Rattus norvegicus: one gene and its partner. The protein of the gene in region 2 binds, or shares a complex with, the protein of the main gene of each other region. Links are inferred from orthologs where the notes say so. Each region holds a gene or a part of one and is shown on either strand. Other genes may lie near its edges.

What was found.
Region 1: the proteins of Espl1 (region 2) and Pttg1 are in contact, whole or in part, in a cryo-EM structure (PDB 7NJ1), measured with the Homo sapiens proteins. The link is inferred for Rattus norvegicus from reciprocal best matches to the Homo sapiens genes ESPL1 and PTTG1. Residues at the interface, in NP_036423.4 of Homo sapiens: His402, Thr405, Val406, Tyr409, Ser461, Asn462, Tyr465, Tyr468, Arg505, Arg508, Glu512, Glu544, Thr547, Phe548, Arg551, Gln590, Lys593, Ala594, Val595, Arg596, Thr599, Gly600, Arg603, Gln634, Cys637, Tyr638, Trp683, Ile686, Glu690, Ile697; in NP_001269311.1 of Homo sapiens: Tyr111, Pro112, Glu113, Ile114, Glu115, Lys116, Phe117, Phe118, Pro119, Phe120, Asn121, Pro122, Leu123, Phe125, Glu126, Ser127, Phe128, Asp129, Leu130, Pro131, Glu132, Glu133, His134, Gln135, Ile136, Ala137, His138, Leu139, Pro140, Leu141.

What each region holds. Positions count from the first base shown.
Region 1 is NC_086028.1:28,394,511-28,409,314, reverse strand, and holds Pttg1 (securin), read left to right. Parts: upstream 1-2,988; 5' UTR 2,989-3,001; exon of another isoform or gene 3,002-3,386; intron 3,387-3,438; exon of another isoform or gene 3,439-3,505; 5' UTR 3,506-3,528; coding exon 3,529-3,616; intron 3,617-4,442; coding exon 4,443-4,621; intron 4,622-6,501; coding exon 6,502-6,595; intron 6,596-7,666; coding exon 7,667-7,825; intron 7,826-8,514; coding exon 8,515-8,594; 3' UTR 8,595-8,671; downstream 8,672-14,804. UniProt on the Homo sapiens protein: Regulatory protein, which plays a central role in chromosome stability, in the p53/TP53 pathway, and DNA repair. Probably acts by blocking the action of key proteins.
Region 2 is NC_086025.1:135,295,356-135,311,205, forward strand, and holds the start of Espl1 (separin), read left to right. Parts: upstream 1-7,360; 5' UTR 7,361-7,406; intron 7,407-7,424; exon of another isoform or gene 7,425-7,576; intron 7,577-7,698; exon of another isoform or gene 7,699-7,727; 5' UTR 7,728-7,736; coding exon 7,737-7,817; intron 7,818-8,601; coding exon 8,602-9,657; intron 9,658-9,832; coding exon 9,833-9,937; intron 9,938-10,223; coding exon 10,224-10,335; intron 10,336-12,855; coding exon 12,856-12,992; intron 12,993-13,935; coding exon 13,936-14,129; intron 14,130-14,896; coding exon 14,897-15,136; intron 15,137-15,562; coding exon 15,563-15,707; intron 15,708-15,795; coding exon 15,796-15,850. UniProt on the Homo sapiens protein: Caspase-like protease, which plays a central role in the chromosome segregation by cleaving the SCC1/RAD21 subunit of the cohesin complex at the onset of anaphase. During most of the cell cycle, it is inactivated by different mechanisms.

The DNA of each region.
Region 1 (14,804 bases), on a different chromosome or scaffold from region 2:
TTAAAAAGGATTCATGTTTTGTTTTATGTGTGTAAGTTTGCACATCATCGGCATCAGATCGTCTGTGACTTGAAATACAGATATAAGACTGTGAACCAGCACGAGTACCCAACCCCTGCAAGAACGAGCTGTTTTGACTACCGAGCCATTGCTTGGAAATTTTTCCTCATGCTGTCTTGTGGTTATTTATACTTCCCCTACATGAACTGCTCTTCAAATAAACAGGACTATAATCAACATTCCCACCTCAAAGAGCCCAAAGTAGTTAATTGTTTTTTGTTTTTTTTAAGAACTTGAAGGGCCTGGAGTTAGGAATGTAAGACTTTGAGTTTTTTCAAGGCAGGTAAAGGAAGAGCAGAAGTCAGCTGACTTGTTCAGAGGGCAAGAAAGGAGGAATTTTTCCAAGGCTTGAGTTCTCAAGAAGAGAGCATCTTTGGATGAATGCTTTTTTGTAAAGCTAGATTAGGAGAGACTTGTATTAGCTGAGGACTCCATATTATACATGGGTTTACCAACCAGATACATTATTCCCCAGTAACAAGCGGGGAATCACAAAGTTGGCCTAGGGATACCATCACTAAGAAAACCATGGACTTTTAAAGACAGGGTGGTGATAGAATTTACACTTGCAGTGGACCTGGGGAAAAGCAATGTTTCCTGTTGGTGAGAGGGGAAGAAAACCTCTCAAGGAATTAGACAATGTTCATATGGAAGCTGTGGGAGTGTATACAGATTTATTTTTGAAAGCGAGACTTCTATGTGCTGGTGATTTAATATGAAGAAACTGCAATTCAGAAATAGATGCAGAGAGAAAATAACAGGTTGAAGGGATAAAAGGAACAGGAAATAGATGGGACAGTAAAGGTATAAGTGGTGTGTGTGTATGTGTGTGTGTGTGTGTGTGTCCACGTGTTCATACATCCATGCGTCCATCATGCCTGAATGTGTTGTTTCTATTCAACTCCTAGAGTTACATATTTATTAGGAACATCACTTTGCTCACAAACAGATTTGAGGAAGTAGAGTAAGACAGATCCCAGTCTGGTGTGCCGAGGGTAGCCCTGTGTAGGGAATAGCTCTCAACCACAATGGTAAAGGAATTACTCGCACACATCAAACTGTCCTCGCATTTACCCAGATTACTTTTTTTGGATCCTATTCTACTGCTAGTGACTGTTTTCCTATCTCACTTTATAAGTGTTCCCCTCAACCCCTTTTTCAGTTGAAATTTGATTAGACAATCACAAGCTTGCTTTCTCTTGGTTGTAGACTGACGGCTACAAAACCATTCCTCAGTTGTTTTTTCTCCTTTTAAATTTAGATTTGATTCCTTTATTCTCTGGGTGAACAGTATTTTAGTGGACGTTAGGAAAATAGTTTTGCCACTTTCTTGCTTTGAGTTTCTAAATATCTCTCCCCACTTCCCCGCACCCTGGTTAGGGCCTTTCTTATGTTAGGCAGACACGGCTACCCAGCTACATACTCAGCCCTCAAAAGACTACTTAAGAACATCATGCCCAAAAAGTATCTCTGGAAAAAAGTGTGTTTTGACATAAGTCAGATCATAATTCCTTTCTTAGAGTTAAAGATCATGTCCCCTCCCCTCTCCTATCTTTGCTCTCTCAGGCTGGCCTTGAAGTTGCTATGTGGCACAGAATGACCTGGTCCTCCTGTCTACCACATCACTGGATTTACACTCTTCTAGGTAAGCTATCTCTCTCTCTCTCTCTCTCTCTCTCTCTCTCTCTATATATATATATATATATATATATATATATATATATATATACACACACACATATATATATGAAACTTTTCAAAATAAGTGTAAGTTCCTTAAATTTTATCAGTACCAAAATGTTTGCCTTCATCACTTCACAAAACCAAGATTTATATCCACCACTTCTCTTTGAATATTTCCTTTCTTTTCTTTTGCAGATATTCCCTATGTGGTCTTGTATAGCTTCATGAACTCAATATGGAAACCGGGCTGACCTCAACAAACTCACAGACCTTCTTTTGCCTCAGTCTCCCAAGTGCTGAGATTAAAGGTGTGTGTCACCACGCCCAGCTTCTTCATTTTGAAGGACCTCTTTGGATAGGATTATGGGAAGATCCCGAAGCTAAACGGGATCTGTTGGTATTGAATAAACAACGGCGTCCGTTTGTGTCTAGACTGAGGAAGAGTCACAGAGAAGGAGATGCAGGATTTGACTAGGGCTGTGAAATTTTGCTATCTTATTCCTAATAGAAAGCTTTCTTGATCTACCGCTCACCACTTACACATCAGCATCTCTTGTGGCTCCATAGAGCTGAGGACTTCACAAACTGTCACGACCATTTTAGAAAGATTCTGCCCAGCAGGAGGGGGATGGGCGAAAATCCTAGCTCAAGTATCCCACTGTCAATCGTGGAACTTTAGAATGTTTTCAGGAGACTAAGGAACTTTTAAGCTAATTAAACGTAATCACACACATAGCAGAAAGGGTTATTAACAATGCCGATTTCAACGGGAAGGCCTGGCTTCTCAAATGTCCATTCTTTGTTTCCAAACCTGTCGAGTTTCCCAGTTTCTAAAAATAAGAAATTAACTACTACTTAAGAGGCAAAGGCAGGTAGATGTGTTAAGTTCTAGGTCAGTCTGGTCTGCATAGTGATTTCCAGGACAGTCAGGGTCCTCTTCGAGAGCAAGTGCTCTTTCCAGTCTCAGGTTTTGATGGGGGCCGACCCAAACCATCTCAGTAGATTGGTGCCTCTGACTTTGACTTGAAGATTTAAGGTCTGGATTAAGCCTCTGGGCTTCTTTAATTAAGTGTTTGTGTTTATGTTGGTCTCTACTACTACTCTTTTTTTTTTTTCCGGGAGGGGGCGGTGGTTGAAAACTTCCGTTGCTCTCATTGGTTCTCAGACACTAGGCCCCGCCTCCCATCGGATGGACCAATTGAAGCGCGAGTTGGAATTCAAACTGCGGTGCGCCGGGTCGTTGGTGGCGTAGTCTTGGGTGAGTTTTAGCTGCGAGTGTGTCGTTGCCAAAGATGTCTTGGGCGAACTCGGGGTGGCGGGGCAGGAAGACCCGGGACTGGAGGCTGGAGCAGGGTCGGGACTTGTGCTTCACTGGGCCCGGCGTCCCGGGGCGCTCTTGGCGTGCTTGACCCAAAGCGACGCTGTTTTCATTTTCTTTCTTCCCTTCCCACACACTTCAGGGTCTCAAGCAACCCAGACTGGTCTTGAATTGTTATGTAGCTGAGGCCAACCTTGAGCATCTGATCCTCTTGGCTTCTCCTTCCTATCGCTGAGCTGGTAGGCTGGAGACAGTTGTTTGGGTGCCAACATCAACAAACGATTTCTGTAGTTTAGCGTTTATGACCCTGGCGTGAAGATTTAAGGTCTGGATTAAGCCTGTTGACTTCTCCAGCTACTTCTAAATTTTTGTGCATAGGTGCTCTGGTCTCTGTTGCTGCTTAGTTCTTCCAGTCTTCCTCAATGCCAGTTTTATAATATGCAGGTCTCTCCCCTCAGTAATCCAGGATGGCTACTCTGATCTTTGTTGATAAGGATAACGAAGAGCCAGGCAGCCGTTTGGCATCTAAGGATGGATTGAAGCTGGGCTCTGGTGGTAAGTATCAGCTGCCTTGAGATACACAGGTGTCGTGAATGGATTATGGCCCCTAGTATTTAGTGTACTTTTGTGGTTGACCGGAGTCAGGTTTGATATATTTTCACGCTTATTATCTTTCTTTTTAGAATACAGTGTCATGTAGCTCAGACTTGGTCTCTAGTTCCCTATGTAACCCTAGGATGGTCTTGGACTTCTGATCCTTTTGACTCCCCCCCAGCCCAGGGCACTGATTAGAGGCAGGGGCCACTGTGCCCAGCTTATGCGCTGTAGGGGATGGAACTTGGAGCTTCTCAAATGTTAGGCAATCACTCTCCCTAATGGTCACATCCCCAGGCACTATGCTTAAATCATTTTTTGAGATGGGGCTCCCCTACATAGCTTTAATTGACCTGGAATTTGCTATACAGATCAGGCTGGCCTTGAACTCAGAGATCCACTTATCCCGGCCTCCAAAGTGATGGGATTAAATGTGTGTTGCTACGGTGCCTGGCTTCATGCTTATTGCCTTAATGAGTTTATTGAAGGGTTCTAAGTCACTGCCCAAAATGAAGCACAGGTTTGTGGGTGAGAATTAAGTTGATGAGGTGTTTACATGGCCTGACCTTGAAGAACAATGTATTTATTACCTTTATTTGTGTATGGGGGGGGGGGAGTGCACACATGCCATGGTGTGTCTGTGGAGATCAGAGGGCAACCTGTGGGAGTCCATTCTCCTTATGCTATGTGGGTTTTGGGGGTTGAATTCAGGTTGTCCGGTATGGCCGAAAGCCCTCTACCCACTGAGTATGTTATACTTTTATGATTGTCCTTTTTTTTTCAACAGTCAAAGCCTTAGATGGGAAATTGCAGGTTTCAACGCCACGAGTCGGCAAAGTGTTCGGTGCCCCAGGCTTGCCTAAAGCCAGCAGGAAGGCTCTGGGAACTGTCAACAGAGTTACTGAAAAGCCAGTGAAGAGTAGTAAACCCCTGCAATCGAAACAGCCGACTCTGAGTGTGAAAAAGGTGAGCGAGGGCTGCGAATACTTGCACATGTGTTGGCGCTTTATAAAAAAAAAAGTTTATTGTTTTTATTCATGTATATGTATCTGCGTACAAGCAGACTACATGTGTGCAAGGCACCCAAGGAGGCCGGAAGAGGGCGCTGGGTTCTTAGGAAAAGGAGTTGCAGCAGGTGTGAGCTGCCTTACGTGGGTGCTGGGAACTGAGTCTGGCTCCTTCGGAAGAGCAGAGTGGCAAGTGCTAACCACCGAGCCATCCCTAAGCCCCGCTGTAGCACTCGAGTGCTTAAAAGCGGACTTCCCCCTGCCTTTCTTCCTCTGAGTCCGAGGTAAATAGAGGTCCAGAAATGCAGAAGCGTCAGGCTGTGCTACTTCTCAGCACCCTGAGATTGCAGCTCTCGGGGACAGTAGCTAATGCTGATTCTTCTGCTTCAGCTGTTCTTAGCTAGTGCCAGGAAGCAGTTGGCTGGGAGGCCTGAAGCAAACGTGTGAAGTATTTAACTGGGTGTGATAGGCACCTGCAATCCCAGCACTTGGGAGGCTGAAGCTGGAGGAGAGGCTGGTTGGAGGCTAGCCTGAACTACACACCCTCCTCCCTACTTTGGTATACACATAGAGTGGATAAGATCGGATGTTTCTGCTGCTTCTTAATTCCATCTGCTTAAGGAACACGAACTTGTTGATATTAACAAAGTAATTAAGGTAACAGTGGCAGAAAAATCACACTTTTATAAGGTAAAAGTGACTTCCAGGATTAGCGACTATTCTGGGGGTGCCTCAAGCCTGTTTTGCTCACTGTTAGGTTTGAACAGTTGAGTTGATTAACTTTGAATTAACCCTGCTCATTATTCTTAGTGATATCTGTTGACAGGTGCTAAGATGTCGTGACTTTAATAGGAGTACTTTTTTTTTTTTTTTTTTTTTTTTTTTTTTTGGTTCTTTTTTTTCCGGAGCTGGGGACCGAACCCAGGGCCTTGCGCTTCCTAGGTAAGCGCTCTACCACTGAGCTAAATCCCCAGCCCCAATAGGAGTACTTTTAATTTATGCGTTTGGATATTTGTCTGTATGCTATTGTATTGGTTAGGGTTTTACTGCTGTGAACAGTAAATGTAACAACATTTAATTGGGGCTGGCTTACAGGTTCAGAGCTTCAGTTCATTATCAATGCAGGAAGCATGGTAGTAAGTGTACAGATAGGTATGGTGCAGGAGGAGCTGAGAGTTCTACATCTTTGTCGAAGGTGGCTAGGAGAAGACTGGCTTCCAGGCAGCTAGGACAAGGGTATTAAAAGCCCACGTCCATTGTAACACACGTATTCCAATGATGAGGCCACACCTCCTAATAGCATCCTTCCCTGAGCCAAGCATATACAAAGCATCACAGTATGTACGTGTACCATCCCTGAGGAGGACATGAGACATTGTTTCCTTTAGACTGGAGTTAAAGATAGTTGTGAGCCACCCTGTGGGTGCTGGGAATTGAACCTTGGTCTTCTGTAAGAACAGCAAGTGCTTTGAACCACAGAGCCATCTTTCCAGTGTGTGTGTGTGTGTGTGTGTGTGTGTGTGTGTGTGTGTGTGCGCGTGTGTGTGCGCGTGCGTGTGCGCGTGCGTGTGCGTGTGCGCGCGCGTGCGCGTAGGGCAGGGCTGGCACATGTGATGGCATGTGTGTCAGAGTCTGAGGACAACTTCCAGGAGTCAGTTCTCTCCTTACATTTACACTGAATCCTGAAAACTAAGTACTGTGACTTCTTAGAAGACAGCACTGAATTGACAAATTCTAAATAGTGACGTCAGCATTTGAAGAGGCTGCCCAATCTCATGCTACCATGCAGGTGGGCAAGACTTCCGTTCTCACAGTGCTTATTCTCTTTGGTTTTTCTAGATCACCGAGAAGTCTACTAAGACACAAGGCTCTGCTCCTGCTCCTGATGATGCCTACCCAGAAATAGAAAAGTTCTTCCCCTTCGATCCTCTAGGTAACAATGCCTTTGGTATGATGGGCAGGCCCTCTGCTGGAGATTTCTCTCAGACTGATTTCTCCATGCGACTATAATGTGCAGCTCTAGAATCCCAGACTGTCTGAACCTGGGTTACTTTGAAAACATAGACTGTTCAGGTGGACTCACTTGTATCACCTTCAGAATGGGAGCAAAGATACCAAGGAAACATCAAGTTCAAGGTGATCATTGTGTGAGTTCAAGGCCAATCTGATCTACAGAGCAAGTTCCAGGACAGCCAGGGCTATGTAGAAGGGACCCTGTGGGGGGAAAAAGTGTAGTGGGCTTGGGGGTGCACACCTTTAGTCCCAGGCAGAGGCAGGCAGAGCTCTCGAGTTCAAGGCTAACCAGGGCTATGTAGAGAGACCCTGTCTTAAACAAACAAACCAAAAAAGAAAAGGCCAAGTATAAATAATGTAAGATAAAAATTCAAATTAATGTCATGCTAACTATTACAGGTGAGTGTTCCACGATTCTAAACTTTTTCCCGTTTCTGAATTCCTCATTGGTGACAACATTTTCCTTGAAGTGCGGTAGACTTCCCTCATTCCTTGAGGAGAGAGTATGGAAGGAATACATTCTCTTGACTGTAGTTTGCCTTTCAGATGAAAACTGTCTCCCAGGAGAACAACCCTGGCTTGGCTTGCAGCTCAGAGCACTGTAAATCCCTTTTTCTGTGGCATCAGCATGCTCACCGTAGTTTTGTAACAGAATCTTTGACAGGGAATGGGGACCTGCTCTGCAGTTCAGCATGGTTTTGAACTCACGGCGATCTGCCTACAGTCACTCTCCCACACCACCATAATACTTGCATCCCAGAACCTATTAAAGAATGTTCAAGAGCTGGGCCGTTAAAATTATACTTTTTCCTGAGTCTGGCAAAAGTAATAGTTAAATTAGGGTGGTAACTTTATTATCTAACTGGCTATTGTTAAGTTGGATCTTAACAATATTCTAAATGACGAATAGTGGCGAAGAATAGTTTGACTTGGTGGACCTCACTGGGGCCAAGGGAGCACTCCCCTGATGCTTGCCTCCCCTCTGTGACAGATTTTGAGAGTTTTGACCTGCCTGAAGAGCACCAGATCTCACTTCTCCCCTTGAATGGAGTGCCTCTCATGATCCTGAATGAAGAGAGGGGGCTTGAGAAGCTGCTGCACCTGGACCCCCCTTCCCCTCTGCAGAAGCCCTTCCTACCGTGGGAATCTGGTGAGTGAGGCCATGCCCTCTCGATGGGCTGTAAGCAACTTGTTAAATGGCATGTGTTGTTGTAGGGACAGTTGTATGGGTGAGCCAGTGTGCAGCTTTGGGGATACAGGGACAACATCTAGAACAGTAACTTTCCTTGGTCGTTGTGGTTGGGTCCAAAAAGGTGTTCTGGAATCTTGGTAAGCCTTTGGTGATAGCAGAGGGTGGAGTTTACCACACAGCTTCTTAGGCTATGAGTTGAAGCCTATAGTAAAGTAACTGAGACTGGACGAACACTCCAGTTTCTGTCCTCGGCTGTCAGAGGACCAGTGTAGACCGACAGTTAGCTTGTAACCTCTGAAAGCTTAAGGCTTTAGTGGGAACCGGTGGTCAGAAGTGCCTCCCTCCTGTTCTGATGAGGTGGGTTGCCAGTCTGATTTTATGATTTGGTGAGACTTTATGCTCAGGAGAGCAAGAAGCTTCGAGTACTTCAAAGACCTGCCTCTTGAGGAGGGTCAGTTCCCAGGCCACATACCCACCCCCTACCCCTCCACCCCTACCACCCCCCCCACCCCCCGTCGTTTGGGAAACCTGCATGTGCGAGTGAGATTCGTTACATGAATGTAGGATGAAATTAGCAGCTAATGTTTGTTATGGATAATGGCTATAACGGAAGTGCAGAGTCCAATGAGGAATCCCTCTTCCTCCAGATCCGTTGCCGTCTCCTCCCAGCGCCCTCTCCGCTCTGGATGTTGAATTGCCGCCTGTTTGTTACGATGCAGATATTTAAACGTCTTACTCCTTTATAGTTTATGTAAGTTGTATTAATAAAGCATTTGTGTGTATGCTCTGACTACCTAACCCAAAGCAAAGCCTGCTTGGTGTTTCTTGGTGTTGGGAGACGCTCTGTTTTCCTTTGGAAGTATATCCGTCAACATGTACTCTGTTGCTTTTTCGTGGCTGTTAACCAGTGACAGTTATCAGGTGTCTTAGAAGAGTCCCTTCCAACTCATTAAGTGGCATTCTTTATCACCAGCTCGGTTTAGTCATTAGTATTCACTTACCGTATACTAATGACTTTACTATTTGGTAGCCAGAATTTGAAAGGCTCTAAACCTTCTGAGAACCCAGTCTCCTTGGGCTCACTAGTCAGATACTTTGACGATCACTGTAGGTAATTTACTTACGGTAGGGCTCACTCCCCACCTATAGGAATTGGTTGTGTGTCCAATCGTGGACATAAGTATTTGATAAGCATTAGTGTTGTTGATGTCTAAGCCTATATTCTTAAACGATGAGGAGCTGGGACCTATGCTTTTGAGTGAGCGATACTTTGCAACTACCACAGCATGGCCCGTGTCTCTGAAGTATGATGTGTTTTGCAAAAGATGTGGGGCTCCAGCCCCGAGGAGGGGAGGGCCTTACATCTCAGTTTACCTCTTGAGGGTATGGTATAGGATACATGCGGAAATGAAGAGTGATCAGAAGCCTGGAGGAAGGGGCTTCAGCGGGGGAAGAATGAGGTCCTCTGGTCTGCTTTTGTATCTGCCACTGGAAAGACAGTGCTCCGGGACGCCACTTTCCAGTCGTGTACCTGGAAGACTTTTCCTTTCCCGGGCATTCTCCCTTAAAAATGAATTTTAATTACTGTCCCATGGAGCTCTGGATGGTGTGAAGTCTGAAGCTTTTCCTTGATGGGGGTGATGTCTAAATCAGAGCCACGCCTGCCTCAGCCCTGCCCTCTGCTCTAACTGGGTTCAAGGTCCTTGGGAAATGGCACATTCTCCTTTCTGTGCTCGCTGCTCTCACTGAGTCTGGGTATAGCATTAACTAAGTCACGCAGTCACTATTATGCTGTCCTAATTTTATCCAGCAATAATAAAGCCACTTTTGAATTCAGCCCCACTCAGGTTTTGGAATCTGGTTGGAATGGAGCTGGATTCATTACCAAACGTAACACGAGTGGTCTTCAGTTCCCGCAAAGAGCTCTTGTTCTCTGTAACCCAGGGGGCAGTCCTTCCTGTCCGTCTTTCTAGCAGCGATCCAGTCTTCTGAACTCCTCCCAGGACGGTCCACTCAGCCTGCTTCTCCAAACTCTTAACTCCCTCACACGGATGTGTTCCCCAAGGTCTACAAGGCCACACTGTCATGTTTATTACAGCAGCGGGTCCATGCTTTGGTCCCACTTTTTAGTATTATGTAATCCATCACAGTCGGGAAGGCAAGGCTGGAGCGCCTCCTCGCTGTGGCATCAGGTTAAATCTCTGTGAGGAAGCAGGGAAAAAAATGGGCTCGGTGCTTAGCTTGCTTGCTTTTTTTCTCCCTTCTTGGTCAATCCAGGACCCCAGCCAAAGGGATGGAGCCATCTACATTCCAGAGTTGGTGGGTCTCTCTAAATCCTGTCTGAAACCCTCAGCTACTCTCAGGTGATCCTCACTGATGTCTTAGACATTCCTTAACCTAATCAAGCTGACAATCAAGAATACCCACCACAGGGGGGCCATCTTGAATCTGCCCTTCCAAGCATAGCCTTTCAATGCTCTTAGCACCTCAGAGAACCAGGGTAGATGAAGGTGTCCCTTTATCAGGATCTCCAGGCTCTAAGGCTTGGACTACTTTAGCAGGTGTCCTACGCTGATAAATACCTGGACGTGGAAGCAGGAAGCTAGTCTTCAAGTTTCAGGTAAATGCCCACTGGAGCCTATTCAATCCTCTCAGGGTGCTTGTTACTCACAGGGCTCGCATCACAGCCCAACGCTAACTTAAATCTGTGTGTGTGTGTGTGTATAGGGGTGTGTATAGGTCTGAGGATAACTTGTGGGAGTCTCTGCTTTCGTCCTGTGGGTCGCCGAGATAAAACTTAAATTGTCAAGTTTGGCAGCAAAGCCCTGTATAACATGTTGAGCCGTCTTGCCAGCCCCAGTGCTGATTTTGAATTCAATACTCAGTAGCTTTGGAGAGCTCAGCCACATGTGTTTGAGACAGGAACAACCAGACGCAAGACCTGTTCCTCTGTCCAGCTAGGGTAAACTCTAACCAAGGGTCTTGTCTTTGTTAGTCTCCAAGTCCCATCAGCTTGTGGAATTGGATTCCCACAGGGAGAGTGCTTTGTCCTGTGTTACCACGTTGTCCTGTAAGAGGAACTTTGGATTGATGGTCCACTTCTCACACCACACAGTGGAACCGGCCGCAGGCTCTCCAGTATGCAGAGCCATGGAGGGGTTTCCATGGTGATCGCCTGTACCATCGCTCACCTCACAGTTGCTGCTGCATGCAGAAGTGGGAGCTGCCTGCCCTTGGCATGCCGCTCAGAGATCCGGTTGCAGCTGGCTTCTGTCTTCCTGTACAGTTGCACCTCACGACCAGAGGCATAGTGGGGCCGGAACCAGAAGTGATGGCAAGGGCACCTGGCTTGGGAAACACCTTCATTTTCCTGGGAAGATGAAATTGAGCCTCCTCCATATTTCCAGGTTGAAAACTTGGAGCGTGGCTAGAGTAGTGGTTCTGAACCTGTGGGTTTCAACCCCTTTGAAGGTCAAACAAGCCTTCCGTAGGGGTCACATATGAAATACATTATGATTCTTTTTTTCTTTTTCTTTTTTTTTCGGAGCTGGGGACCGAACCCAGGGCCTTGCGCTTGCTAGGCAAGCGCTCTACCACTGAGCTAAATCCCCAACCCCTTACATTATGATTCCTAACAGTAGCTACATTAGTTATGAAGGAGGTAGTTTTATGATTGGGGTCACCCCCAACATGAGCAACTGCAATAAAGGGTCACAGAATTGAAAAGGTTGAGAACTGGGGCTGGAGAGATGGCTCAGTGGTTAAGAGCACTGACTGCTCTTCCAGAGGTCCTGAGTTCAAATCCCAGCAACCACATGGTGGCTCACAACTATCTGTAATGAGAGCTGAGGCCTTCTTCTGGTGTGTCTGAAGACAGCTACAGTGCACTCATATATAATAAATAAATAAATCTTTAAAAAAAAAAAAAAAGGTCGAGAGCCACTGAGCTAGGGCAACATAGCAGCAGCTGTGTTCCAGCCCCATCTTGTAACTGAGGCAGAGGGAAATGGGTGTCAGATGCTAATAGGACAGTTGGATAGAGAAATGACAGGTCATAGGGTTTTACTGCTTCAAACAGGCACCATAGCCAAGACAACTCTCACAAGGACAACATTTAATTGGGGCTGGCTTACAGGGTTCAGAGGTTCAGTCCATTATCAAGGTAGGGGCACGGCCGCATCCAGGCAGGCATGGTGCAGGAGGAGCTGAGAGTTCTACATCTTCATCTGAAGGCTGCTAGTGGAAGAATTCTGACTTCCAGGCAGCAGGATGAGGGTCTTATCAGCCCACAACCACAGTGACACACCTACTCTAACAGGGCCACACCTTCTAATAGTGGCACTCCCTGGGCCGAGCATATACAAACTTTCACATGACAGTAGAAAGCGAGGGAACTGGAAACCAAGAAAGCAGATATAAATAAGGAGAGATGGCCCATCAGTTAGGGATGAGAACGGCATCAGGCAGTTCACATTACCCCCATTACTCCAGTTCCAGGGGCATCCCACATCCTCTTCCGGCCTCTGTGAGCACCTGCACGCATGCGCACCAAACTTCCTTCTGAAGTCACATTATTAAAAGTAAATTCTAACCAAGCAGACATAAGATCACATAACCTGGCGCTGTTGAACTTTCTGGTTTGTGTCTCTGAAGGTTAACAATGACCCCGATGGATGCGTATAGTGTTCACTCTGGCTCTTGTAGGGCACTATGCCAGGCTGGGTAGCTGAAACCTTGGAGATATATCCTCACAATTCTGGAGTTAGAGATTCAAGACCCAGATGTGTGTAAGGTTGGTTCCTTTCGAGGCCTCTTTGACTTGCAGTTAGGATCTGTACCAGAACGGACCAATGTCTTTGTGGGAGGAAGAAAATAACGTTACTGCAAAACGACCTGAAGTTTCAAGGCACATGGAAGGAGTGTGGGCTGGTACCCCAGTGAGGGGATGAGAAGACGGCGGAACAGAGATTCTCTCCACTGATGCTCGGGGAGACGTGAGGTTTAGTGAGTAAAGAGGCTGTTGAGTCCAGAGGACATCCTGGTACTCTGGGTATGAGGTATGTCCTGAACGAAACGGCTCACCTTAGTCTGATTCCTATTGCTGCCGTAAAGACTTGGACCAAAAGCAACCTGGGGAGGGCAGAGTTCTTGGTTACACATCCTGGTAACATCGCATCACTGAGGGAAGTCAGGGCAGGAACTCAAGGGCTGGAACCTGGAGGCAGGAGCTGCAGCAGAGGCCACGGGAGAGTTGCTCAATGGTTCACTCAGCCCGCTTTCTTACCTTTTTGGCATTAGCCTAGCTTCTCCCAGCTGGGCCATTGTCTCAGCCCCAGCCTGTTTTCTTGCACAACTGAGGACCATCTGCCTAGGGGTTGTACCAGCTGCAGCGAGGGCTCTCCCTCATCAACCATTCATCAAGCCAATTTGATGGAGGCGGTTTTTCCCAATTGAAATTTCCTCTTCCCTGTTGACTGGGTTTTGTGTTAAGTTAACAAAATACTAAGTAGCACACTGCTGGTAAGGAGGCACGCGCGCACGCACATTTTGCACACATGCACGCACACACGCTACACATTTTGAGACAAAGTCTCCTTATGTGTCCGGGACTAGTCTTGAACTCAAGATCTTCCTGCCTCAGCATCCTGATGCTAGGATTTCAGGTGTGCATCACCACATCCAGCTACATATTTTAATTAACATGCAGAGATGGCGTCCCTTCTGATACCAAGCTTCTTAGACTCCATGGGATTGTGTGGATATTTTCCACGAGTTCTCTTCCTAGAGACAGAATAGGAGCCAACAGGTTATTATTCTTGGTCATAACGAGCAAGAGTCGTTTAGGACTGAGCCAGAGGCCATCTTCATTGCTTGATGGATTCTCTTCAGGGTTATCATCTCGCTGGTGGCTGGTGGCTGTGTGCAGAACACACGGGGAAGAGATCTGCCTCAGAATGCCAGCATTGTCAGGAAAAGCAGACAAGAAAATGACAGGCACAACGAATTCCCTGGGATGCAAGGCTACTGGAGGAGCAGAGGCCTTTGCCCATCTACCCTTTAGAGTAGTTATTCTCAATGGCTGTCTAGAGAACCCCAGGGGTACTCCAGACCTTTGTAGGATTTCATGAGATCGAGTCTATTCTGTTGATAGCACTTACATACCTAGTTATCTCTCTCTCATTCTTCCACAGGAGCACGGTGGTATTTTCCAGACGGGGACTTTTAAGTGTGAGATCACAGCCGACTGCATGCAGAAACAAATCTAAGAATCCAGCTGTTAAGGAGACCTGAAAGCATGGTCAGCAACACCGGCCTTCTCACTCGCTTGTTTCCTTTGAGAAGAGGATTGTCTTTCATAGACTATTTTGTGTTGACACTAACAGGCTTATTATAGCCATGTTTAAATTAATTAGCAACTGTTTAAAAGAATTCCTCAGGTTTATTTTTTTTAATCACTATACACATCGACGGAATCCTTACAAATAAAATCTTTTGTGGTCTTTAGTAATCTTTCGTGCATAATATTTTTGTGTGTGTGTATGTTCATCTTTGTTGAGGGTGCGTTTGTATTCACGTGTGTGTGTGTGTGTGTGTGTGTGTGTGTTGGGGGACATGGCAGAGGACAACTTTAGGCCTTTGGAGCCAGGCACTTTTGTTTGTTGAGCCAGGGTTTCTCTGTGTAGCCCTAGCTGTCCTGAAACTCCATCTGTAGACCAGGATGGCCTCAAATTCAGAGATCTGCCTGCTTCTGCCTCCTAAGTGCCGAGATTAGAGTGTGCACCGTTACTACTGGGTAGAGACAGACTATTTCACTAGCCTGGGCCTCAGCACATCACTATAGTGGCCAACTGACAACCTGGGAACTTGTTGTCTGCTTCTACAATGCGGGGATGAAAAGAACACACTATCATGCCTGGCTTTACAGATAATTACGTTT
Region 2 (15,850 bases):
TGTGGAGGCAAAGTTGGGCAGATCTTTTCAGTTTGAGGCCACACTGGCTTACTTCAAGAGTGAGTACCAGGGCAGCCAGGAGTATATAGAGAAACATTTTCTTTAATTGTTTTTTTAAAAAGAGTTACTTATTATTTTATGTATAAGTACACTGTCAGTGCCTTCAGACACACCAGAAGAGGGCATTGGCATTTAATTGGATCCCATTAAAGATGGTTGTGAGCCACCATGTGGTTGCTGGGGATTGAACCTGGAACCTCTGGAAGAGCATCCAGTGCTCTTAACCACTGAGCCATCTCTCTAGCCCCCTATTTAAAAAAAAAATTTTTTTTTTTTTTGGTTCTTTTTTTCGGAGCTGGGGACCAAACCCAGGGCCTTGCGCTTCCTAGGTAAGCGCTCTACCACTGAGCTAAATCCCCAGCCCCTAAAAAAAATTTTTTTAAACTGTATTTAAGGGGCTGGAGTGGATGGCTCAAGGGTTACAAGCACTGGCTGCACTGCTCTTTCACATGACCAGGGCTCAATTTCTAGCACCTGCATGGTGGCTAACAACTGTCTAACTCTAATTCCAAGGGATCTGACATTCTCACATAGACACGCATGCAGGCAAAACACCAATGCACATGAAAATAAATGTTTTTAGTGTATTTACACGTGTTTAGATTTGTCTAAAAAGTATTTATTTTATGTATGAATGCTCTATCTGTATGTGTACCTGCAAGCCAGAAGAGGGCAGCAGATCCCAGTATAGATGCTTATGAACCAACATATGGTTGCTGGCAATTGAACCTCTGGAAGAGCAGATGATGCGCTTAACCACTGAACCATCTCTCCAGCCCTATTCATTTTATCTTTAATGTGTATTGAGTATATGTATGTTTACCACTGGTGTGCCTGGTGCCCAAGTAGGTGAAAAGAGGTTGTCAAACCTCTCGGGAGAGGAGTTACAGACAGTTGTGAGCTGCCGTGTAGGTGATAGGAACTGAATTTAGGTCCTCTGGAAGAGAAGCAAATGCTCATAATTGCTGTCGTTATCATCACATAACTGGGTATGTGGTCAGCTTGATCCTGCTGGGTCAGCCTATTCTTCTGACTGGCAGGCATGGAACAAAGGGACAACAGCTATACTAGCCGGGCAGGCCTCAACATGTATGAGGGTGTCAGATCCCCCTAAACTGGAGTTACAGTTGTGAGCTGCCACATGCCCGCTGGGAATTGAACCCTGGTCTCCGGAGGAGCAGCCAAGGTTAATTGCTGAGTCATCTGTCCAGCCCCCCACATGCCTTTTTCAAAAGATTGGATCTCATGTAGCCTAGACTGGCTTTTAATTCACTGTATCATAAGGATGACCTTGAACTTCTGATCCTTCTGCCTCTATCTCCCAAGTGCTGGGATTGTGGACATTTGAGGTATTTCCTGTTTTATGTAGTACTGGGAACTGAATCCAGGGCTTTGTGCATGCTAGCCTCAACTGAGCTATGGTTCAATTGACAAGCTTTTTGTAACTTGAGGTTCAAACCATGACCATATTCTAAATAGATATGCCCGACCACTGAGGGGCACTCTTAGTCCTAACACTGTTTTTCACTAAGTGACACATACCTTTAATCCTAGCCCTGGAGTTGGGGTTATAGAGGCAGAAGGATCTCTGAGTTCCAGGCCAACCAGGGATACACAGTGGGACCCTGTCTCAAAAGCAAAATGTAAAAGCAGCTGTTCAAGGACTGTAAATTACTGTCATGGTCACCAAGGTCGTCTTCTTCTTCTCCTTCTTCTTCTTCTTCTTCTTCTTCTTCTTCTTCTTCTTCTTCTTCTTCTTCTGCTGCTGCTGCTGCTGCTGCTGCTGCTGCCGCTGCTATTAGATTTATTTATTTATTTAAGAAGGGAAAAGGGCATCAGATCCCATTACAGATGGTTGTGAGTCATCATGTAGTTGCTGGGATTTGAACTCAGGACCTCTGGAAGAGCATTCAGTGCTCTTAGCCACCGAGCCATCTTTTCAGCCCCATGGGTCCCAGTTAAAATGGAGATGTAGGGGCTGGAGAGATGGCTCAGCGGTTAAGAGCACCCGACTGGGGCTGGGATTTAGCTCAGTGGTAGAGCGCTTACCTAGGAAGCGCAAGGCCCTGGGTTCGGTCCCCAGCTCCGAAAAAAAGAACCAAAAAAAAAAAAAAAAAAAAAAAAAAAAAAGCACCCGACTGCTCTTCCAGAGGTCATGAGTTCAATTCCCAGCAACCACATGGTGGCTCACAACCATCTGTAATGAGATCCGATGCCCTCTTCTGGTATATCTGAAGACAGCTACAGTGAACTTATATATAATAAATAAATACATCTTTAAAAAAAAAAATGGAGATGTAGGATCTGGAGAGAAGGTTCAGTGTACCCATTCACAAGAAGGCTCACAATTCCTGTAATGTTAGTTACAAGTGAAGCAATCCCACTCCCACGGTCTTCTTGGGCACCAGACATGTATGTGCTACATATATACACATACAAGCAATCATACATAACCATAAAATAAGTCTTTAAAAACACAGATGGGGGCTGGAGAGATGGCTCAGTGGTTAAGAGCACTGACTGGTCTTCCAGAGGTCCTGAGTTCAATTCCCAGCAACCACATGGTGGCTCACAACCATCTGTAATGGGATCTGACGCCCTCTTCTGGTGTGTTTGAAGACAGTGTACTTATATATAATAAATTAATCTTTTTTTAAAAATTTATTTGTCTGCTTTATTTATATGAGTACACTGTAGCTGTCCTCAGACACACCAGAAGAGGGCATCAGATCCTATTACAGATGGTTGTGAGCCACCATGTGGTTGCTGGGAATTGAACTCAGGACCTCTGGAAGAGCAACCAGTGCTCTTCACCACTGAGCCCATAAATAAATCTTAAAAAAAAAAAAACAACCCATAGATGGAGGATGGGCATGGTGGCACACACCTCTAATCCCAGCACTCGAGGGGCAGAGGCAGACAGATCTCTGTGAGTTCCAAGACAGCCAGGGCTATGCAGAAAAACTCTATCAAAAAATTCACCCCACCCCCCAAAAATAAAATAAATCCAAAGATTTATTAAAAACATTTTTATGTTGGAAATTTGAAGTATAGCTAAGTGGTAGAGGGTTTGCCTAGCATGAGCAATGCCCTAGGTTTAACCCATAGCACTGCAAATAAATATTAATAAATTAATTAATTCTGTAATTAACTGATTCTATAATTAAACTAAGTGTGGCACTCCAGGACGGTAATCACAGTACTTAGGAGGCGGAGACAAGAGCATCAGGAGTTTAAGTTCAGCCTCTAGGATAGCCTAGGTACATGAGACCCTACCTTCAAAACAAAACAAAACAAAGAAATCTGGGCTGGAGAGATGGCTCAGTGGTTAAGAGAACTCTTCCAGAGGTTCTGAGTTCAGTTCCCAGCAACCACATGGTGGCTCACAACCATCTGTAATGGGATCTTTTTTTTTTTTTTTTTGGTTCTTTTTTTTTCCGGAGCTGGGGACCGAGCCCAGGGCCTTGTGCTTCCTAGGTAAGCGCTCTACCACTGAGCTAAATCCCCAGCCCCTCTGTAATGGGATCTTATGCCCTCTTCTGGTATGTCTGCAGACAGTGACAGTGTACTTCTATAGAATAAATAAATAAATCTTTAAAAAAAAGAAAACAAAGACATCTCTGTATCTTAGAGTATCTATTGCTGCAACAAAACGCCATGACCTAAAAGCAAGCTGGGGAGAAAAGGGTTTATTTGGGGATGGCACCACTCACTATAGGCTGGGTCGTCCTCTATTGATCACGAATGCTTTATAGCTGGATCTCATGAAGGCATTTCCTCAATTTCCTCAACTGTGGCTCTTTCTTCTCTGATGGCTTTAGCGTGGGTCAAGTTGACACACACACAAAAAAAAAAACAGGCAGTACATGTGGGTCTTATCCCTAAGACATTATATATACATGTGTGTATGTGTATATATGTATATGTGCACACACATTATATGTGTCTGTGTGTATATATACACATGTACACATGCATGTTCAAGTATGTATTTGAATGTGTAAATGTTACATATGTTTCTACACACATACACACACACATATTTATTTCTGTACACACACACACAAAAAAAACCTTCCACAAATGAAATCCAAAGCACTCTCAGGGTCTTCATTATAGGATGTAACCCTTAGCTGATTGTGGTGTTGGGGCACTCCTTTAACATCCTTTAACATCAGCGCTTGGGAGGCAGAGGCAAAGGGATCTCTGTGATTTTGTGTCCAGCCTGGTCTATAGAGCAAGTTCTAGGATAGCCAGGACTACACAGAGAGACCCTGTCTCAACAGAACAAAACAACACAAGAAAGGATGTAACCCTAATTATCTCTAAGAATCCCTAATTATAATCATACATCCCTAACTATTTCTAATACATTTGACTCAACCTGTAACCCTAGGACTCCTCCCCCTTTTAAAAACATTTAAGCGTATGCGTGTTCCTGAATGTACACATACATATGACATGAGTTGACAAGCCCGAGAGGGTCAGAAGGGGTGTCAAAGTAGAGATGGTTTGAGCTGCCATACGGGTGCTAGGAACTGGATCCTCTACAGGAACAGACTGGGCCTTCTCTCCAGATTCCCCCCTCCCCCTTTTTGAGATAGGGTTATCTCAGTGTACTTTTATGTAGCTTTGGCCAGTCTGGAACTCATTATGTAGACCCTGGCCTCAAACTCAGAGACACTATTGGCTTCTTCCTGCCGAGAGCTGGGAGTCTGTACGCCCTTTTTACAGAGACTGAGCAAATGAATCTGGCTTCACTGCCCAGTCTCAAGTTCAAAGTTCATTCCCCTCTCTATGCTGCCTCTTTTATACATTCAGTATTCAGATGTAAGATTAAACTACATGACTTAGGGCTGGTAAGATGGCTCAGAAGTTAAGGATTCGTGCCACCAAGCCTGATGACCTGAGTTCAATCTCCAGAACCCACATGGTTGAGGGAGAACAGACTTCTTCAAGTTGGGAGCTGTTCTCTGACCTCCACAGGTACCCGTACATGACCCTATGAATACATACACAATAAATAAATCACATGAGTCAAGTTTTATCAGGTACATTTTTTTTGTTGTGTTTTTGAGATAAGGCCTGTCTAGAAGGTCCTGGCTGACCTGATACTTGCTCTGTAAACCAGGCAGGCCTCTCAGTAACAGAGATGTACTTGTGTCTGCCTCCAGGGTGCTGGGCTTAAAGGCTGGGCTTCAAGCCGCCACACCTGGCTTTGTTTTGAGACCAGGCTTCTAAGAATTCACTGGCCTTGAACTTGGTAAGTAACCACATATGACCTTGAACCCCTGATTAACTTCTCTCTCGGTCTCTCGAGTGTTGGATCCCATATTCCTGACTTGCACCCAGCTTTCGGTAAAGACCGTGTGAATAAGCTAGGTATTGTGGTGTAAGAGGAGATCAACGCTTCGACCATTGATGTCTTCATCCTCCTTTCTCCTAGGTCCTTTACCCTACGAGGGGTATCCTGGAAATGTCTAATCACTACTGATCGGTCTACTGTGGTACTGATTCCTAGAACCCTGGGCCTTGTGCACACTAGGCATCTGCTTTAACCCCTGAGCTATATCTACAGCCCTCTCACTTTTTATTTTTGTTTGTTTATTTTAAAAGGCCTCTTTCTTTTTTTTTTTATGAGTTATTTTCCTGCATGGCTATGTGACCCTATGTGTCTGGTGCCGGAAGGGGTCAGAAGAAGACATAATGATCCCTAGAGGATGTGAGCCACCCTGTGGGTGCTGGGAACCAAACCTGGATCCTCGGCAAATTTTTATTTTGAAATGGTTTAAATGGCCCATGTTAGCCTTGAACTCCCTCTGTGGTTCACTCTTTGAACCTGAGATCTTCTTGCTTCAGGCTTCCCAATACCTGGGATTATAGCCTTGGGTTAACAGGCCCACCTTGTAACAAGTATTGTTCGTTTTAAAAATTGATTTGATATACTTATATGTGTAGGTGTTTTGTCTCTACATATGCCTGGGTACCATGTGTGTGTCTGGTACCCTAATGGACCAGATCCCTGGAACTGGAGTTTCAGAGACCTGTGAGCCACCATGTGGGAAGAGCAGTCTTGGCTGTTTACCATTGAACTATCTTTTCAACCCTCCCCCCCCCTTTAGAACGTTGTTTGGTTTTTTTTTTTTTTTTTTGTTTTTTTGTTTTTTTGTTTTTTTTTGAGACGAGATCTCACTAGACAACCCAGGCTGGCTTTGAACTCCAAGCATTTTTTTTCTGGTCCAGGAGTTAGGCCAACTGCTTAGTAGGCAGACAGATAGGGAACGGGGCCATGGCTAGGAAATAGAGGTGGTGAGTTTCTAAGATGGTCACTTCTTCCTCAAACCCCTGACTTGAGAGAAAAGCTCAGCATCTTTAGTGTCTGCATTAAATATCACCATTCCCACGTTGAATTTTTCTTGTGGGGGAGATGTCGTTTTCTTTCCTCTTATTCCCTTCCCTTCCTCCTTCTCCTCCTTTTACTTTCTTTTCTTCTTCTCTTTTATTATCTTTGCTACCAGAATCTTAGCCCTTGAGAGTTCCACGTTGGGGCTGGAGAGATGGCTCAGTGGTTAAGGGCACTGACTGCTCTTCCAGACGTCCCGAGTTCAGTTCCCAGAAACCCCATGGTGGCTCACAACCATCTGTAATGGGAATCCGATGCCCTCTTCTGGTGTGTCTGAAGACAGCGACAGTGTACTCATATACATGAAATAAATAAATCTTTAAAAAAAAAAAAAGCGTTTTAAAGACCCGGTGTGGTGGCACACATCTTGAACCCCAGCATTCCCAAGGCAGAGGCAGGTGGATCCCTCTCAGAGGCCAGCCTGGTCTACACAGCAAGTTCCAGGACAGCTGGACCACGTAATAAGAACCAACTTCAAAAAAGGAAAAACAAAAGTCCGTCGAAGGTTACTACACCTTTTCCTCTCTAGTAACACAGAGCAAGTCATGTGGGTTTCTTAGTATTTTAATTCCCTTGAAATTTAAAACCCTGACTGAGCTCAGGGGATAAAGGAAAGAAAGACGAAGTCACACTGCAGGGTGACTGTAGTTGACAGCAGCTGAAGAACCAGCCGGTGCCCCAGTCCTTCCGCTCCAGAGCGGTAACCGCCCCTCCAGGAACACGTGACAGACAGCGCGGTGGGTAAACTACAACTCCCAGAGGGCCAAGCGGCCGGCCTGCGTAACGCTTTCTCGCTGATTGGCCACTAGAGATATTTGAAAGGAGGTGCTGGCGCGGAAAACGAAGCGTACCCACCGGTGTTTGGTGGAACTCCGGCTGGAGGGTAGTCCTAGACCGGTGAAACACGGCCTGGAGGGTCTGGTGAGCGCGCGCTCAAGCTGCGGTAAGTGACGTTCCCATTGCTGACCTGGGGAGAAACGGGGCGACTCCGCGGAGGCTCGGCGACCCCCGAAAGGGTGTGGTCGGTGCCCAGGACCCTGTGGAGCCCCCTGGGGTGGCCTGGTGGGACACGGGGGACAAGGGGCCAGTTTATAACGGGAGTCCAGCGTCCAGGCATGTTCTCCCCTCCCCCATAGGATTTCTGGTGGGATTCTTTGCCTGCTTTTTCCTTTGAATCCTCTTACAACTTTCAATCCCTTCTTTCCTCCCGTTGTTTCCATTATGACCCTTCGCAGGCTTCTACAAACCATTTCGTTGTGTCTAGACTTTTGCCATGAGGAACTTCAAAGGAGTCAAGTTCGCCACTCTACTTTGCTGCAAGAGAGAGACCCAGGAGTTGCTGCCTGACTTGAAGGTGGGGCCCTTTCTGGCTCAGGACACACCTAGTTTCTGAGATTATCTGGTTTTTTTTTTTTTTTTTCTTTTCCTTTTTATTTATTGTTTTTATTTTAAAAATTACTTTTCCATACTACAGGATCTCATGCATTCAAGAAAGCACTTCACGGGGCTATAACTCTATATACGTTTTCACTTTTAAAAATAACATATATCTTTATATATTGTATATAGTACAATATATAAGCTATATATATCAAGTTTTTTTGAGACAGGGTCTCATCTCTTGCCCTGGCTGTAAGTCACTATATAGACCAGGTTTACCTTAAACTCAGATCTACCTGCTTCTGCCTCCCAAGTGCTGAAATTAAAGGCATGTATCAGCATGCCTGGCCTGTTTTCACTTTTTCTTTCTGTAGTTGTCTCCAGACATACCAGAAGAGGGCATCGGATCCCATTACAGATGGTTGTGAGCCACCATGTGGTTGCTGGGATTTGAACTCAGGACGTCTGGAAGAGCAGTCAGTGCTCTTAGCCGCTGAGCCATCTCCAGCCTCCTGTTTTCACTTTTTCATTTGGAGACAGTGCTCTCACTAAGTGGCCCCAGCTGGCCTTGAACTCACTCAAGCCTGGGAGGCTCTTTGAACTTTATCATTTTCTTGCCTCCGCACGGGCCTGCGCCGCCACCAAGCCTGGCTTGTGTTTTGCCTTAATTTGGAGAGAGATACATGTGAGAGGCCCTATTTCTACTTTTATTTCCCTACCTCTCTTTTCCGCTTACCCGGCTTAATTCTTTCTCATAGGAGTTCCTGTCTAGATCTCGAACTGATTCAGTCAGCAGCAGAACCGATGCTGAGAGAAGACAGGTCTGTGACACCATCCTGAGGGCTTGCACCCAGCAGCTGACTGCCAAGCTTGACGGCCCTGGTCACCTGAGAAGTATCCTGGACCTGGCAGAGCTGGCCTGTGACGGCTACTTGTTGTCTACCCCACAGCGCCCTCCCCTCTATCTGGAACGCATTCTTTTTATCTTACTTCGGAATGGTTTGACTCAGGGAAACCCAGACGCTGTGCTCCGCCTTGCCCAGCCTCTCCATGCCTGCTTGGTACAGAACTCTCGAGAGGCTGCCCCTCAGGACTATGAGGCTGTGACCCGGGGTACTTTTTCTCTGCTTTGGAAGGGAGCAGAAGCCCTGTCAGAGCGGCGAGCTGCATTCTCAGCTAGGCTGAAGGCCTTGAGTTTCTTAGTGCTTTTGGAGGATGGCAGCCTCCCTTGTGAGGTCCCTCACTTTGCTTCTCCAACAGCCTGTCGGGTAGTTGCCGCCTATCAGCTGTTTGATGCTACTGGACAAGGTCTAGATGCAGCTGACGCTGACTTCGTCTATGACTTGCTTTCTAGGCATGTGATCAGAGTCTTAGTAGGCGAGGGTGGTAGGGCTTCTGGTCCGCTCTCTCCTCAGAGGGCCCTCTGCCTCTTGGAACTCACCTTGGAACATTGTCGTCGACTCTGCTGGAACCAGCACCACCACAAGGCTACCATAGCAGTGGAGAAGACTCGAGATCACCTAGGAAATAGCAATGTAGCTCCCAGCCTCCAACTGTGCCAGATGGGGGTTGAGCTGCTGGAAGCTGTGGAAGAAAGACCAGGGGCAGTGGCCCAGCTCCTGATGAAGGCAGCTGCTATTCTGAACAGCAGTATGGATGGGCCATCACCCCCGCTCCGGGCATTGTATGACAGCTGCCAGTTCTTCCTTTCAGGCCTGGAGAGAACCATCAAGAGGCACTATGGAGTTGATGCCATATTGAATCTCTTTGCTTTTCTTGGGGGATACCACTCCCTTGTCCGGCACCTGCGAGAAGTGAGTTAAGGACCTAGAGTATAGGGGTGGGGAGTGGCTCTGTAAATAACTGGAAGTTACCCTTGATAAGCTGCCCTCTGAGCTGTGCCCGGCTTCAAGGACTCTAGACAGTACTTGGCACAAAGCTCGCCGTCTCTGGGTTTCAGACCAGCTGCCCCTTCCTTTCTCCCTTCAGGCCTCCGAAGCGTCCTCTAAGCAGCAGCAGAGCCTGCTCCAGATGCACTTCCATACCCTCCACCTCTTCACTGGGATTGTGTATGACTTTGCCCAAGGCTGTCAGGTACCATCTGGGAGTCAGGAAACATGGATAGTCGAGGTTGCTTCTCAGAAGAGCTTTGGGTAATTGGGTAGTGGCAGCTCTCTCCTTTAATCCCAGCACTCGGGAGGCAGAGAGAGCCAGGCAGATCTCAGTCTTCGAGGCCAGCCTGGTCTACAGAGCGAGTTCCAGGATAACCAGGGCTACACCCCATCTGGAAAAAAAAAATGTTTGGTTTCGGGTGTCAGTTCAGGTGGAAGTCCCAGTGGCCCTTGCATGACTTCTGACCCTCGACCTTCTGTTCCTTCAGGTAGCTGAGCTTGCTCAGCTAGTGGACAGTTGCAGATCTGCTGTTGTCTGGATGTTGGAGGCCTTAGAGGGCCTGTCTGGTGGAGAGCTGGCTGACTACCTGGGCGTGACTGGTTAGTGCCTTGGGGTTCCGCTGCACTGCTCTAGGGGACGGCTATCACTTGTCAGGCTGGCTAGTATACATTTCTGACCACTCGCTGTGCTGAGTGCCAAAGGTTTAAGGAGGCAGGGAGAGACATATCTGTAAGGCTAATACAGGAGAGATGGTGAGGCTTAGGACAGAGGATTTTTTTCTCATTATGTTTGGCAGTTTGATTTGGTAATTGTTTATAAAAAAAAAATGTGTGCCTAGTATGCAATGTTACAGAAGTATGCACCTTAACTTTTGTTAGTTTTCTTTTTTAGCCAGAGTCACACTGTGTCGTAAAAATTGGGCTCAAACACATAGCAGTACCCCTGCCTTAGCTTCCCAAGTCTGGGGTCACAAGTCATAGTTTACCTTTTTTTTTAATTTAATTTGGGATTAAAGACATACGCCACCGCACCCGACTACATCTATTTTGAGAAACTGCATTAGGTCAAGGAGTTTATTTAGCCTTAGAACTGCTTCCTCCCCTCCAGCTCCATAAATAACACTAAAATTTATTCACTCAATAAAACTGCCAAGCCATGTCAGATCCATTCCTGCCACTGGAACCTCATCCTAGTTTGGGGGAAATGTAACTGGATAAATGAAATACTAACATTAAAAGGTGAAAGGCTGGAGAGGTAGCTCAACAGTTAAGAGTACTTGTTCTTACAGAGGCCCTGGGTTCAATTCCCAGAATCCATATGGCAGCTCACAACTATGTGTAAACCCAGTTCCAGTCCAGGGAATCTCCTCACTCTTCTGACCCTTGTGGGTACCTGCACACACATGTACACATACGTGAGGGCAGAACGTTCATACACATAAACACTGAATCGAAATCTTAAAGTAAATGATAATACCTGGGCCTGGGGACTCACCTCTGCTCCTAGCTCCAGGGAGCCTGAAGGAAGAGCACCAAGTGCTCAGTGTGAGACCCCATTTCAGAACTCAAAAGTGGGGACAAGGGAGATGTCTCAGCCAGTGAAGGCATTTGCTGCCAAGGCTGGTGACCTGAGTCTGGTCCTTGGAATCCACATGATAGAAAGTGAACCAATTCCTTGAGGTTGTCCTCTGCCCTTCACATGTGCACTGTGGCATATGAACACACAAACAAAACAAATACAATTTTGAAAGAAGTAATGAAAAATGAAAGGTAAGGAGTAGATTAGAAAGGGAGGCCCCAGGAGCTGGAGAGATGGGTCAGTGGTTAAGAGCAGTGGCCGTTCTATGTGAGGACCTGTGATTGATTCCTAGTACCCGTGTGGTGTTAGAACCACCTGAGCTCCAGTCCTAGGGAATTCAGTGTCCTGACCTCTGTAGGCACCATACACATAAAGTAAGGTAGAATAGTAAGTAAGCCAGCCTGGCATCATGGTACATGCTTTTAATCCCAGCACTTGAGAAGCTGAGACAGGTGGGTCTCTCAGTTCAAGGCCAGTCTGGTCTACAGAGTTCCAAGATAAACCTTGTTTTGAAAAACAGCCAGGTGTGGTAGCACACACCTTTAATCCCAGCACTCAGAAAGCAGAGGCAGGGGGATCTCCTGAGTTTGAGGCCATTCTGGTCTACAGAATGAGTTCCAGGACAGCCAAGGCTACATAGAGAAACCTTGTCTTGGAAAAAAAGAAAAAAGAATAAGTAAGCTTTTTTTTTTTTTTTTTTAAGATTTATTTTACTTTACTTACATAAGTACTCTGTAGCTATCCTCAGACACCAGAAGAGGGCATCAGGTCCCACTACAGATGGTTGTGAGCCACCATGTGGTTGCTAGGAATTGAACTCAGGACCTCTAGAAGAGCAGTCAGTGCTCTTAGCCACAGAGCCATCTCTCCACCCCACATAAGTAAACTTTTTTTTTTTCGGAGCTGGGGACCGAACCCACGGACTTGCGCTTGCTAGGCAAGCGCTCTACCACTGAGCTAAATCCCCAATCCCAGTAAACTTTAAAAAAAAAAAAATTTTAGTTTTATTTTCAGTGCATTGGTGTTTTGCCTGCATGCATGTCTGTGTAAGGGCATGAGATCTTGGACTTACAAACAGGTGTGTAAGTCCTCACTCACACCCAGGTTCTCTGGAGGAGCAGCCAGTGCTTGTAACCACTGGGCCATCTCTGCAGCCCAAGTAAACCTTCTTTTTTTTTAAAAAAAAAAAGCAGAGTCCAGGAAGGGCAAGGAGTCTGAGTACCATTGAATTACACTTGGAAGCCTTTAGCATGACGATGCCAGGGGAGAGAACATCCATGCAGGCATGGCTCTAACAACCAGTGGCATGAGGGGAGGAGGAGGCAAGGGAGGTCAGTGCAGCTCAGCCTCGTGCAAGTGTGGAGGGGCTGCTGGTGTGAGTTTCCTCACAGGGATCCTGAGCAGCAGCTGGGGTGGAGCCAAAGATTGCCCTCCTGTATGTTCCTTGATGGTTTGGATTCCATTGTGTCCTTATCTGGAAGCTAACAAGATGACCCCAGGTTGAGCACCTCTGACATCGGTTGTCCTTTCTCTCCCTATAGCCTCTTACACCAGCAACTTGGCCTACAGCTTCTTTAGTCAGAAGCTCTATGAGGAGGCTTGTGCCATCTCAGAGCCAGTCTGTCAGCACTTGGGCTTGGCTAAGTCAGGCGCTTGTCCCGAAGTGCCTCCTGAGAAGGTAGGAGGGAATGAGGTGTGGAAAGGGAGGTTATGTCGGGCGAGTTGTGAAAGGGCCAGCCTGCAGCTCTGCGGGACAGTGGGACTGGCTGGCAGCGTGCCCAGGGCAGTGATTCCCTAACAACCTTGCCTGAACTGTTGCTTTTTCCTTCCTTCTTTCCTTTTTTGGTACAGGGTCTTACTGGCCTGGAATTTGTTATGTAGACCAGGCTGGCCTCCTCAACCTGACAATTTATCCTTAAAATGGCTTCTTTTCCTTTTTACTTTTTGGTGTTCTCGTAAGCCAGTTCTAATCCTAGCCTCACATTAGAGTCATCTGAGTGAACCTCAGGGACATTCTAGTGTAATGCTTGCCTCAAGTTAATTACGTTGGATCCTCACCCTAGATCGCAGGCATCTACATGTTCTAAAAAGTCTCCCACACACCCAGGGCGGCCAGAGTAAAAAGCAGTGGGTTAAGAACGGCTGAAATTGACGGGTTGCTGCATTGGCAAGTGACTTGGGGTGTGTGGGCATGAGGAGCTGAGGGGTGTGGATGGAGCCATGACGTCAGGTGGGCGTCTGAATGGCTTTGCTGTTACTGGCAAACAGTTGCAGGGCAGAAGCCTGGGCAGGAACGGCTGTGACAAAAAGCAATGGATGGTACAGGGCCCTCATCTTGAGTTAGTTAGGTGGGAAGGAAAGAGTCACAGAAGGTGGAATGGGTCCTTCAGGTTGTGGATGTAGACCGTAGAGGGGCTCCTGAAGCAGAGAGTACCAGAAGCTTGGTTCTCGAGGATTACAGAGGCAGGAGGACCACCTGCTATCTCTCTTCCACGTGCTGCGCCGCGCTGCGCTGCGCTGCGCTGCGCTGTGCTGTGCTGGCTGTCTGCCCGCTGCGCTGCGCTGAGCTGCGCTGCGCGCACTCAGTGGCTCCACGTTCCAACCCTCCTGTCTCTGGTCAGCTACATAGGTGCTTCCGGCTGCATGTGGAGAGTTTGAAGAAATGGGGTAAACAGGCCCAGGGCTGCAAGATGGTGACCTTATGGCTGGCAGCTCTGAAACCCTACGGTCTCCAACACATGGTTGAGCCAGTCACTTTCTGGGTTCGGGTCAAAATGGATGCAGCCAAGGCAGGAGACAAGGAGCTACAACTGCAGTGAGTTGGAGGGGGGAGGAGGACCATCCTTTCTGCCCATGGATTGGGGCACGTCCCTCAACCTGACTCCGTCTATGTAGGCCTGGCCTTGAGATCCTTCTGCCTCTGCCTTCCTAGTGCTGGAATTAAAGGCCTGTGCCGCTGGGTCCGGCCGCCTCAGTCCTTAGTGCTGTGCCTGGCCTCCTCAGTCCTTCTGAAAGTGATTTTTTTCATCAGTTATGCATTGAGTATAACTGGTTATAGGGCAGATAGTGGTCAGAAGCAATGTTTGGTTTTTGTTCTACTTGGAGAAATAGAACTAAGTATATTGCATGTATTTTTCATGAAGACAGAACATCCATGACCTGTTAAATAAAAGGGGTAAACTTTAGGGGGGTAATTTAGGCAAGTGGTCTGTATGTAAGGCCTGAAGATATGCAGAAATCCATCATCAAATGCCTTAAAGAACTAATCACAAAATACCGGTGCTGGGGTGGAAACAAACTTGGAAGTGGGAACTGGTTAGAGAAAGCCAGCATTGAGGAAGGGGAGAGAGGTTGGGGTGTAGCCTGCCAGTAGAAGGGTTAGAAGCCAGGCCACACAGGGTTTTATTTTATAGGCCATGGCACAGGTTTGGAGGTGACCCCTCATGGAGCCCCCTATATTAGAGGAGCCATATGACCTGATTACACAATTAGATGCACAGCAAGTACTGAGCTAAGGCAGAGGCTCCCCGGTAAGGTACAGACTCTTCGAGGTCTTCACCCTGGTGCTGATCTGCCTTTCAGGACTTTGCGAGACAGCCTAAGTTGCTGGGACCCAGAGATGCAGTCTCTGCTACTGAGGGAGGAGCTGCAGGCCTATAAGGCAGTACGGGCTGACACTGGGCAGGAACGCTTCAACGTCATCTGCGATCTGCTTGAGCTCAGCCCTGAGGACACAGCAGCTGGAGCCTGGGCACGAGCTACCCACCTGGTGGAATTGGCCCAAGTGCTGTGCTACCATAGCTTTGCCCAGCAGACAAACTGGTGAGGAGATAACAGGAGACTGACTGCCCGTCCTGATGTTTCTGATAATGGGGATCAGTTTCCTAGTCTATCGCTGAGTGCTCCCCTTGTGTTAAGCGCAGCTCACTATGGTTTGCCTCGTGCTCTAGCAGAGGGCATGGTTTTGCCAGCTGCAGACAGTTTCTGCAATTGTGTGACCTTTGGAGTTTTGGGAACTTTTCAGAGGCTGTTTAAATGCTAGGGCACAGAGAAGTGGGGTTGGTGGTGTTGGCCGTTCAGGGTGGTTTGTTATTAGTAGTGGTGCTCAAAGAAGAAGCAAAAATGAGAGATCAGATTCAGAAATATCTGTCTCTTTCTCTCCTTCCTTTCCTCCTCCCCTTCCTCCCCTACCTTCTCACATAGTAGCAGAGACCAGCTACACCCCCACTTACATTCATCTTTCTACAGCTCTGCCTTGGATGCTATCCAGGAGGCCCTGCAGCTTCTGGAGTCCGTGAGTCCCGAGGCACAGGAGCAGGACCGCCTTCTAGATGACAAAGCACAGGCCCTGCTATGGCTCTACATCTGCACCTTGGAGGCCAAAATGCAGGAAGTATGTGGAACTGAGCCCGACCCAGCTGCTCCCACCAAGCTGGTACCAGTCCTGGGTTTTGTTTCAATCTCTCTTCTTTCCCAACCAGGGTATCGAGCGGGATCGGAGGGCCCAGGCCCCTAGTAACTTGGAGGAATTTGAAG